Yarrowia lipolytica: one gene and its partner. The protein of the gene in region 2 interacts with the protein of the main gene of each other region in a pairwise test. Links are inferred from orthologs where the notes say so. Each region holds a gene or a part of one and is shown on either strand. Other genes may lie near its edges.

Region 1 (3,700 bases), on a different chromosome or scaffold from region 2:
TGTCAAGTGTATGTACTTGTACTGTTCATCGTATACAAATCATTGAGAAATGTTTTGATTTGGCGGCATATCGCAGATTGTATGCAATTGTTGTGCGAGAACCATCAAACAATAGCGTCCAGAGTTCCAGAGAAACCTATGCTGCAGCAATTACCTATATCTTGATATGATCACACACACATGTCGTACAAGTACAAGTAGGTCAATAATTGTAGTTGTTCTGTGTCAGGTACGATAATGTACTGTATGTTATGTCCTTCGTTTCGTTACCCCAGTTTTTGGATCCTGCCTTCCAGCTCAAGTGATCATTCCTTCCACTTCGTGTGGAGTCAAGGTTCATCCTTCATCCGTCACTGAGCAATGGAAGAAGCGGGGAAACGGAAGATAGCAATCATACCTTAACGGTGATGAGTCGTGTCTCATGGGAGCATTGTGGGTTATTTGGAACAAGACCTACAGTAATTACAAGCACTTGTACTGGACAATATGATAGTATCGTATCGTAGTGTGATCGTTATGGAAAGTATAAGAGATAGTCCTACAAGTAGTTAGCTTATCACGTGCATATTAACAGATTGTCGTCACACTGGCCAATGTTCTGCCACGATGGCACTTGACGACCACTGTTGTGTTTCTGTCACTCCACAGCACGTGTTGAGTCAATTGGGGTTGGGACCTGGAGGCTTGGTTTCGAATATGCGTGGATCCGTTGGGTCCGAGTTTATGCCATGGGTTTATGGCCATCAAAGATAGATGGGAGTCGGCATTGTCTGCAATCGTCGGAGGTAAGCATGACTCATGATGAGTCACGGTAGCGAGGTGGCAAATTGAGACCGTATCTCTTGATTCTACTCGTACTTGTAGCTTCCTGGTTGATGTCTACGATCACTTCTACTGCATCGTGGCTTCGCGGGATGGGGTAATCTGTCACCCACAGCGTACCCCAGTTTAGGACATGCAACCGTTAAAAGAGTACCAACGTAAAAACAAGTGCTTGTGTGAGTAATACGTGAATTGTCCTGCAAACAACATTTTGACAACTGTGACGTATGCAACTACCCACAAGAGAGTCTACACACACAATTGATTTCAGTCGGTCGTCAACAATCTACGTCGTATCGCCACTACTGTACACACTACTGTACCCCTTCCTTCCCTGTGGTGCCGCGGATTTCATTTTGAGATTAACCCTTGGTCTGCTTGCCAAGGTTGGGGACAGCAGCCAAAGAAGAGGACAGTGGCGAAAAAAGACGCCGCACCGCACGGTTGAAGATGGACTTCGAAGAGAGAATTGAAAAAAAAATGTAATGTACGCACAGGTCAGGCACCAAACAAGGCAGGACCAGCAGCAGGAGGAAGGCTTTGTACTGGCAGAGTGCAGGCACACTTGTCTCCGAAACAGCAGGCAGTCAAGTTCTAGAAACTACCCCTAATATTAGGTGCATTGTCACAGCTACCCCAGAAACCTGAATAATCAATAACCACGACGTCCGAATAACGTGCTCTGGAGATTGGTGTGAGTCTGTCGTCAGGTGCTGGACGTTGTGTGCACAGGGGTGAATGAGGATACATATGGGCGCGCAGGTATCGTAGAAAAGAACACACGTACGTATGACCAGTCAGACGCTCAATTCTCAATTCAGTAGGTCAATGGGGAAGAGACTGTAGAAGTACAGGTTATTAATCAGGATACATGCCATGCTTTTCGTCTTTTTAACCGATTGCTGTTTGTCCTCCTCCATCTCCTCTCCCGCACCTGTTTAGCTCTACCCTGCCTTTTAGCCAAATAAACTCCAATTGGGATACTTGTTCCAACAGACCACCCGCAGCTGCTTTAGATTTTTTCCACACACCCACCAGTCTGCACACAGACACATACCTCACCACACACCTAGTGCACTCAAATAATCATGAGCGAACCCATCAAGTCCAAGCGAATCGAGCAGCTGTCCAGCATTGCCCCCACCCCTCAGAACACCCCGGCCTCCAACGCCTCATCTTTCCTCCAGCGAGCCGCCAACCCTGGAGTGTCTACAATTGCTGAGGATGGTCAGGGGGAGGTCGACCTCGGAGCTCTGAGCCGAGACCCCGCTCTGCTGTCCCATCTTGCCGGTCGACTCAACCAGATGGCCGGTACTTCTTCGGGCTACGTCGATTCTCTGCCTCTGGCTGTGCGACGACGAATCGATGGTCTCAAGGCCCTGCACCAGCAGGCCTCCGTGGTGGAGGACGAGTTCCACAAGGAGATGCTGGAACTGGAGCGAAAGTTCCAGGCCAAGTTTGCCCCCATCTACGCCGAACGAGCCGCCGTCATTGGTGGCGAGAAGGAGGTATCTGAGGAGCAGGTTGAGGCCGGTAAGAAATACGAACAGGAGCGAATGGAGCGAATGTTTGGTGTCGACGGAGACGATGTTGAGGAGGATGAGGACGAGGAGGACGAGGATGCAAAGGACGAAGAAGAGGAGAAGGAGGGTGATGATAAGTCCGATGCCAAGGGTATTCCCTACTTCTGGCTCACCGCCATCCAGAACCTGCCCGGTGCCTCCGGTCTCATTTCCGAGCGAGATAGCGAGGCTCTCAAGTCGCTCATGAATGTGCGAATGGAGTATCTCGACGACAAGCCTGGCTTTGTGCTCATCTTTGACTTCGCCGAGAACGAGTTCTTCACCAACAAGCAGCTCAAGAAGTCGTATTTCTACCTCGACAAGGTGTCTGACACCGGTGAGCTCATGTACGACCACGCCGAGGGTGAAGAGATCGACTGGAAGTCGCCTGAGCAGAACCTGACCATGGAGATCACCAAGCGAAAGCAGCGAAACAAGCACACCAAGGCCACCCGAATCGTGGAGAAGGCCGTCCCCACTGAGTCTTTCTTCACCTTCTTCAGCCCGCCCAAGGCCCTGGATGAGGAGGAAGAGGACGAGGACGAGGAGGTTGACCATGAGGAGCGAGACAATGCTCTGCAGCTTGACTACCAGATTGGTGAGGAAATCAAGGAGCAGCTCATTCCCCGAGCCGTCGACTGGTTCACCGGATTTGCTCTGGAGATGGAGATGGAGCATGGTGACATGGGCGAGTTTGAGGATGAGGACGACGATGAGGATGAGGATGATGACGACGATGATGATGAGGACGACGAGGAGGGAGGCAAGAAGGAGGCCCAGGAGTGCAAACAATCTTAAGGAGTAACATACTAAATAAGACGCGTGGTTACACGCATGATATAGTGTTGATTATATGAAAATATTTTGAGGACGATACATGACTATGTACCGTATGGGCAATACAAGTAGCTCAGACAGTACGTACTGGTTGTAGCTCGAAGGCATAATTGTCCAAGTAGCTCGAAGGTAACATTTAACAGTTGCTACAGCGGGACCGGAGACCGCGAGTAGTATGGCGCTCTAACGACTGTACAGTATTTATTGAACGAAATGTAGCTGTAATATTATGCATTTGAGGAGTTCCCGGCTACGAGTACTGGTACAAGTAGCTACTTTTTGAACTTGTATAACGGTGCAGTAGCTACGATACTGTATTGTACACAATGGCACCAATTTCCCACATTGGCTTTGTAATAATGAAGGCCTTTTCAAATTGGTGGGGGCAAATGCAAGCGAATATAACTGCAACCAATGGCTTGGCTACGTGCTTTTTATTCAAGTGGGGATAGATAGCGGTGGTTTTCTTGTATTATTAT
Region 2 (4,943 bases):
TCCGTCTGTTTCCTGACTTTGCGCGAGAACTGTCGGCTCATTTGGTCCACCCGTTTCAGCAGCGCCACATGCCGATTGAGACTCAGTTGGAATGAGTCACGTGACGGCCGCAATTCTTCCACGAGTTTGTTGTATTTGTGCTTCAGATCCCGAGTAGCTTCTATGCATTGTTCTTTTGTAGATGGAACAGCGAGAACAGGAGTGGTCAGAGCTTGCTCCAGCTGTTCGGCGTAGTGTTTTGAAAGTCGCTCACCCTTCTGTTTGAGATCCTGACCAATTTCTTCGGTAGAGGTCCACACCAAGTCCACGATCTCGACCAGACTCAGCTCTTTTGTATCACTTTTACGGGTATCCATGCTCATGATGAGTTTGTTGAGATAACTCAAGCTTCGATCATTAGCAGGAGAGTTTGACGATGAGGTGAGGATAACATGTTCGGTCTAACTTGACCAAAGAAGCTCGTATCGAAATAATAACAGCTTCCTTGTGATACTCCAATGCTTCTTATTCGATTTCAGCTTTAAAATTCTGAAATACCTACTATTATGCCCCACATCTCTCCCCCCACCAACTCCATGCGGCTCATTTAAACTCACCCCACAATCTAATGATAGGCAAAAAAAAAAAAAAAAAAAAAAAAAAAAAAAAAAGACACTGCGGGAATCTCCTTACTGTTGATAACTACAAGTACGCGCAATCTGCTGTTCAATAATAAATAACTGTTACGTAATATCTGGTCCGTTTTTGCACCGTCCATGAATGGGTTGTATGTGTCCTGGCCAGTATGCTCGCATCTTCAGTCTAGAAACTCCTGCCCCTTGTGTCAAAGTCCAGCCCATCACCATCGTCTCCGTCAAAGCTCTCCTCCACATACTCGTCTTCGACCTCCTCTTCAATCACAGAACCCTTTCTATCGGGACGCTTAGAATTGGTGGGACGAGACCGACTGGGAAACAGAGCCATGTTGGGTGAAGACACCTTGGTGGCCGACTTGCGTCGCCGGCTGGGCGGCTTGTATGTGTTAAACTGCGCCGTTTCGTTATAATCGTGCTGCTTCGAATGAGCCTTTTTGTTGCTTGTCGAGTGACGTCCATAAGAGGTGGTGGGTGTTTCTGAGGGCCCCGGAGAGCCGGGATCGGTTGTATCGTCTCCCAAATACTCGTCTGTAGAAGACGTGGAGGATGCCTTGGAATGTGTTTTTCGATGGGATTGGATCGAAGAAAACGACGAGGAGGTAGAGCGACGGCCAAAGTAAGGTCTTCGCATGACAATGCGTCTGCTTCCCGAGCCAGATCGTTCTAGAGAAGACGAAACGGAAGGCGCCGATGAAATGGCAGAGATGCCGGAGATTTGAGAGATACCAGAGAAGGAAGAAATCTGCGAGATTGGTCGTTCTCGACGGGTAGTTCTTCGGAAAGATGTCATAGGCTCGATATTGTCCTGGCTGTTGAGAGAGGTGAGTCCAGGTGCACTTTGTGGTAGTGGAGGTACGTCTGGAACGGTTTCTGTCGGTGCGATGCCCTCCTCTAGGGAGGTGTTGGACTTGTTTTTGATGCTGTAGGAGTGTAGAGACGAGGGGAGGGATCTTCCAGTGCCGGAAGACTGACTAGGCTCCGACTGGGTATTACCCTCAGTTGTGGGTTTCTTTTTGCCAATGAAGACCATTTTGAGCATGACATTCTTGAGAGACTTGCCAAAGTTGCCCTTCTTTTTGAGAGAAGAGCCGTCAGATGTCACAGAGCGGTTATCAAACGGAGAGGCCTGCAATCGGGGACTTTCGCCAACCGTATGTGGTCTCTCGAGTGTCACAGACGTGTCTGGAGTGTTGGTGGCCGTGTCTCTCGGTGATCTGGGAGAGTCAGGAGCAGGAGGAGAAGTCATGGCTTCACCTGTGGTAGTGGATCTATGGGGCGGTCTGAAATCAAGGGACTGTCTGGGGGTCGACACTTGTTCACTGGACGGTCTTCTAAAGTCTCCAGACAGTCTGTTTCTGATTCCTAGGCCGTCGAAGTGCCGTACTTTTGATAAGGGAGAAGAAGGGGAATGAGGAGCGGTCATTTGCATTGAGTCTCCGATATTCTCTTCCGACGGCCGCTTTCGAGCGATATCAAACGAGTATGAGAAGGCCGACCTTGATCTTCTTCGCGACTGCTTGCGTCGCTCCTTTTTGTATGCTTTTTCCAACGATGCAGCCCAGAACCCGGCCAGAGAGTCGCATTTCATCTTGGATACGGACTCGTAGAGGTTCTCAATGCTAATATTGAGCGCCTTCATGCGTTTCAATACATGTTTTTCCATCTTGGTTGAAAACAGCTTGGGTTCTTTAGCTGCCAGCATTTCAGCCTGCCGCATACCCTCCAGACCCAAAAAGCCGTTGTTCAGCACCTCAGCGAGCTTGGGTCGCTGATGAGGGTTCTTGCAAAGCATTCCTTTAAGCAAAGCCAACATATCTGCCGGCAATTGGTGTTTGGCATAGTCCGGTTCGGCGTTCATGATGCGGTTTTTCGTGTCCTCCTCGTCCTCCTCGTCAAACGGCATTTCGCCACATACCAGGGCGTACAGAATGACTCCCAGAGACCACACGTCGACAGCTTCTCCGCTGTACTTTTTGCCCAGCAGCATTTCAGGAGCCATGTAGGCAGAAGTGCCACAAATAGTTTCCAGCATGACTCGTGACTCGTATCCTCGTGTGAATCCAAAGTCGCACAGCTTGACGTTATGGTGTCTGTCCAACAGAATGTTTTCGAGCTTGAGGTCTCTATGGACGCAATTTTTGGTGTTGTGGACGTAGGTGACAGCTCCACACAGTTGTGCAAATATTTTGCGGGTCTCGTCGACAGACAGTCGTCCGTTTTCCACCAGATAGGTGTACAGCTCGTCTCCCGGACAGTACTCGAGCACCATCCAGACCACCGTCTCCGTGACGATAATCTCGTGGAGACGAGTGATATGAGGGTGTTTGAACTGCCGGTGATGGTGAATCTCTCGCACAAGGTTGGGGGCGCTCTTGGCTGACGACTTGAGTACCACCTTGGTGTTGGTGAACTTGTGCGTCGCCAAATACACCTTGCCAAACGAGCCCTGCCCAATGAGCCGAACCACATTGTAGTTGCCGATCACCTTGAGCTCGGTAGCGTGGAAATGGTCCAGCAGCGCGTTGTATGACTCGGACAGCTGAGCCTTGGCATTGTTGATGCGGGCCTTGTCTGCCATTGTCACGCTGGAGAGGTCTGAGCAGCGAGTTTGGTCGGTCGTTTCAGTCGCGGTTACGCTTCACCACATACATGCAACATAGCCTATCTTGTACCTGCACCTTTACGTAATGTCAACATCAGGGGGGAGGGTTCTTTTAGGGGTAAATGTGCGGGGGTTAGGGTAGTAAAGTCAATCTGGAGAATATTTCAGATGTTTATAGCAGATCTGCGAAATATTTTTACGGAAATACCAGCTCGAACACTTCTTTAGACAACCCTCTTCTCGGGCTACCTAGAAACACGAGTCAAAACCAGTGAGCCAAAACACGCTTGAGTTGGGACATGAAGGATAGAGTTGTTCTTCCAACTGCAACCGAACGGAGTGTTTCGAGTGGGTGTTTTCTAGCAGATAAAAGTATGGTGAGGGGATGTTTTTACAGCGGAAATCAAGTTCTGTGTGTTGGTTTCATCTACCGTCAAATTTTCAGACCCTCATCTGCTCCTGAACCCCGGTAATTTCCCACCGTCGCTTAATCTCGCTTATTTACGAGTGCGTCACACAAGTGAGATGAGTTTTCGAGGGGAAAATATATGGTGATAGGTGGGTATTTTTGCGTAGATGGGGTTTCCAATCTCGGTTTATATGATTTCCCGTTGGTTCGGACTGATGCCGTTGTTCTGGACTGTTCTGGTAGCTGCTCTGTGTTCAGGTGGTATGTGCAATAGTATGAGTACAGCATGTACTTGTAGTTACTTGTACGCACGTCTCAGACTACATGTAGGGTGACAACATACAGCCTGTCATGTCCGTATTATTGGACAAGAAGCCATTCTTCTAATTTCGATTGACTTATTATCCAATCTATAGATCCAGACCCCTGGACTTGTACCGGTACCTCTAACTGTTCGGAATATCGAGAGAGTCCCCTTATTCCTTCTTCTACACCAAGTCCAGACCCCTGAGAGTTGTTTTGGTGGCGGGAGAATCATCCAGGAAGAACACCAGCAGTATTTTGGACTCACTAAAAAAAGATGAATTGCTTGTGAGAATCTTCAAATGCCAAGATCCACCCATCAACTTGACTTTCTCCTTACAGTACATGACACATCTCTCTGATAGGTTCAAAAGTGACCGGATAGATCTGATATTATGCCTGTGTTCTCAAAAAGCTACTTCTAACATACTCAAAACTTTGTATTCTAGTTATCTCCCCCCCCTAGTCCATTTTACACCAACATCACCAAATCCCTTCGACTCCTCATAAAGTTAACCTCCCAGGCTGCATCATTATGCGTCTCATCATGTCCCTAACGAAATAAATTATTCACAACCAACACACAACACTGGCGACACAAAATGGATCTTGACACCGTCACATACACCATTGCATGTCGATCTGTGGCTCCGAAGGACGTGGTATTCGCAGCTCTAGAGCTCTGTGCACAAGTAGCTCCGGGGTACATTTGGTACCGAGACTCGTTCACACTTGACATTTCGTCTCCAAACACAGTTTCTGGTTCCACGACCTTTGGGCCTGCCCTGGACGACGAATGGCTGGTGGTATACATTCTTTACCGTCTTACCTTACAGCTTCCCGTCAGTGTGCATGTGAGTGATTCTGATGGCGACTTTCTGTTGATTGAGGCGGCCCATGTGATTCCATCCTGGATAGAGCCTGAGACCGCCGAGGGGCGTCTGTGGATCAAAAACGGACAGTTTGAGCTCATTCCGCGGTCACAATTTAACGG

What was found.
Region 1: the proteins of YALI1_E29235g (region 2) and YALI1_B19044g interact in binary tests that used the Saccharomyces cerevisiae proteins (3 or more experiments, as listed by UniProt). The link is inferred for Yarrowia lipolytica from reciprocal best matches to the Saccharomyces cerevisiae genes YPL150W and NAP1.

The regions. Positions count from the first base shown.
Region 1 is NC_090771.1:1,902,682-1,906,381, reverse strand, and holds YALI1_B19044g (uncharacterized protein), read left to right. Parts: upstream 1-1,910; coding exon 1,911-3,182; downstream 3,183-3,700. UniProt on the Saccharomyces cerevisiae protein: Acidic protein, which assembles histones into an octamer (in vitro). Involved in the regulation of the localization and the function of the septins during mitosis. Involved in the function of B-type cyclins.
Region 2 is NC_090774.1:2,921,753-2,926,695, reverse strand, and holds YALI1_E29235g (uncharacterized protein), read right to left. Parts: upstream 3,214-4,943; coding exon 802-3,213; downstream 1-801. Other genes in the region: YALI1_E29263g (uncharacterized protein), read right to left, coding at 1-362; YALI1_E29221g (uncharacterized protein), read left to right, coding at 4,552-4,943. UniProt on the Saccharomyces cerevisiae protein: Putative serine/threonine-protein kinase.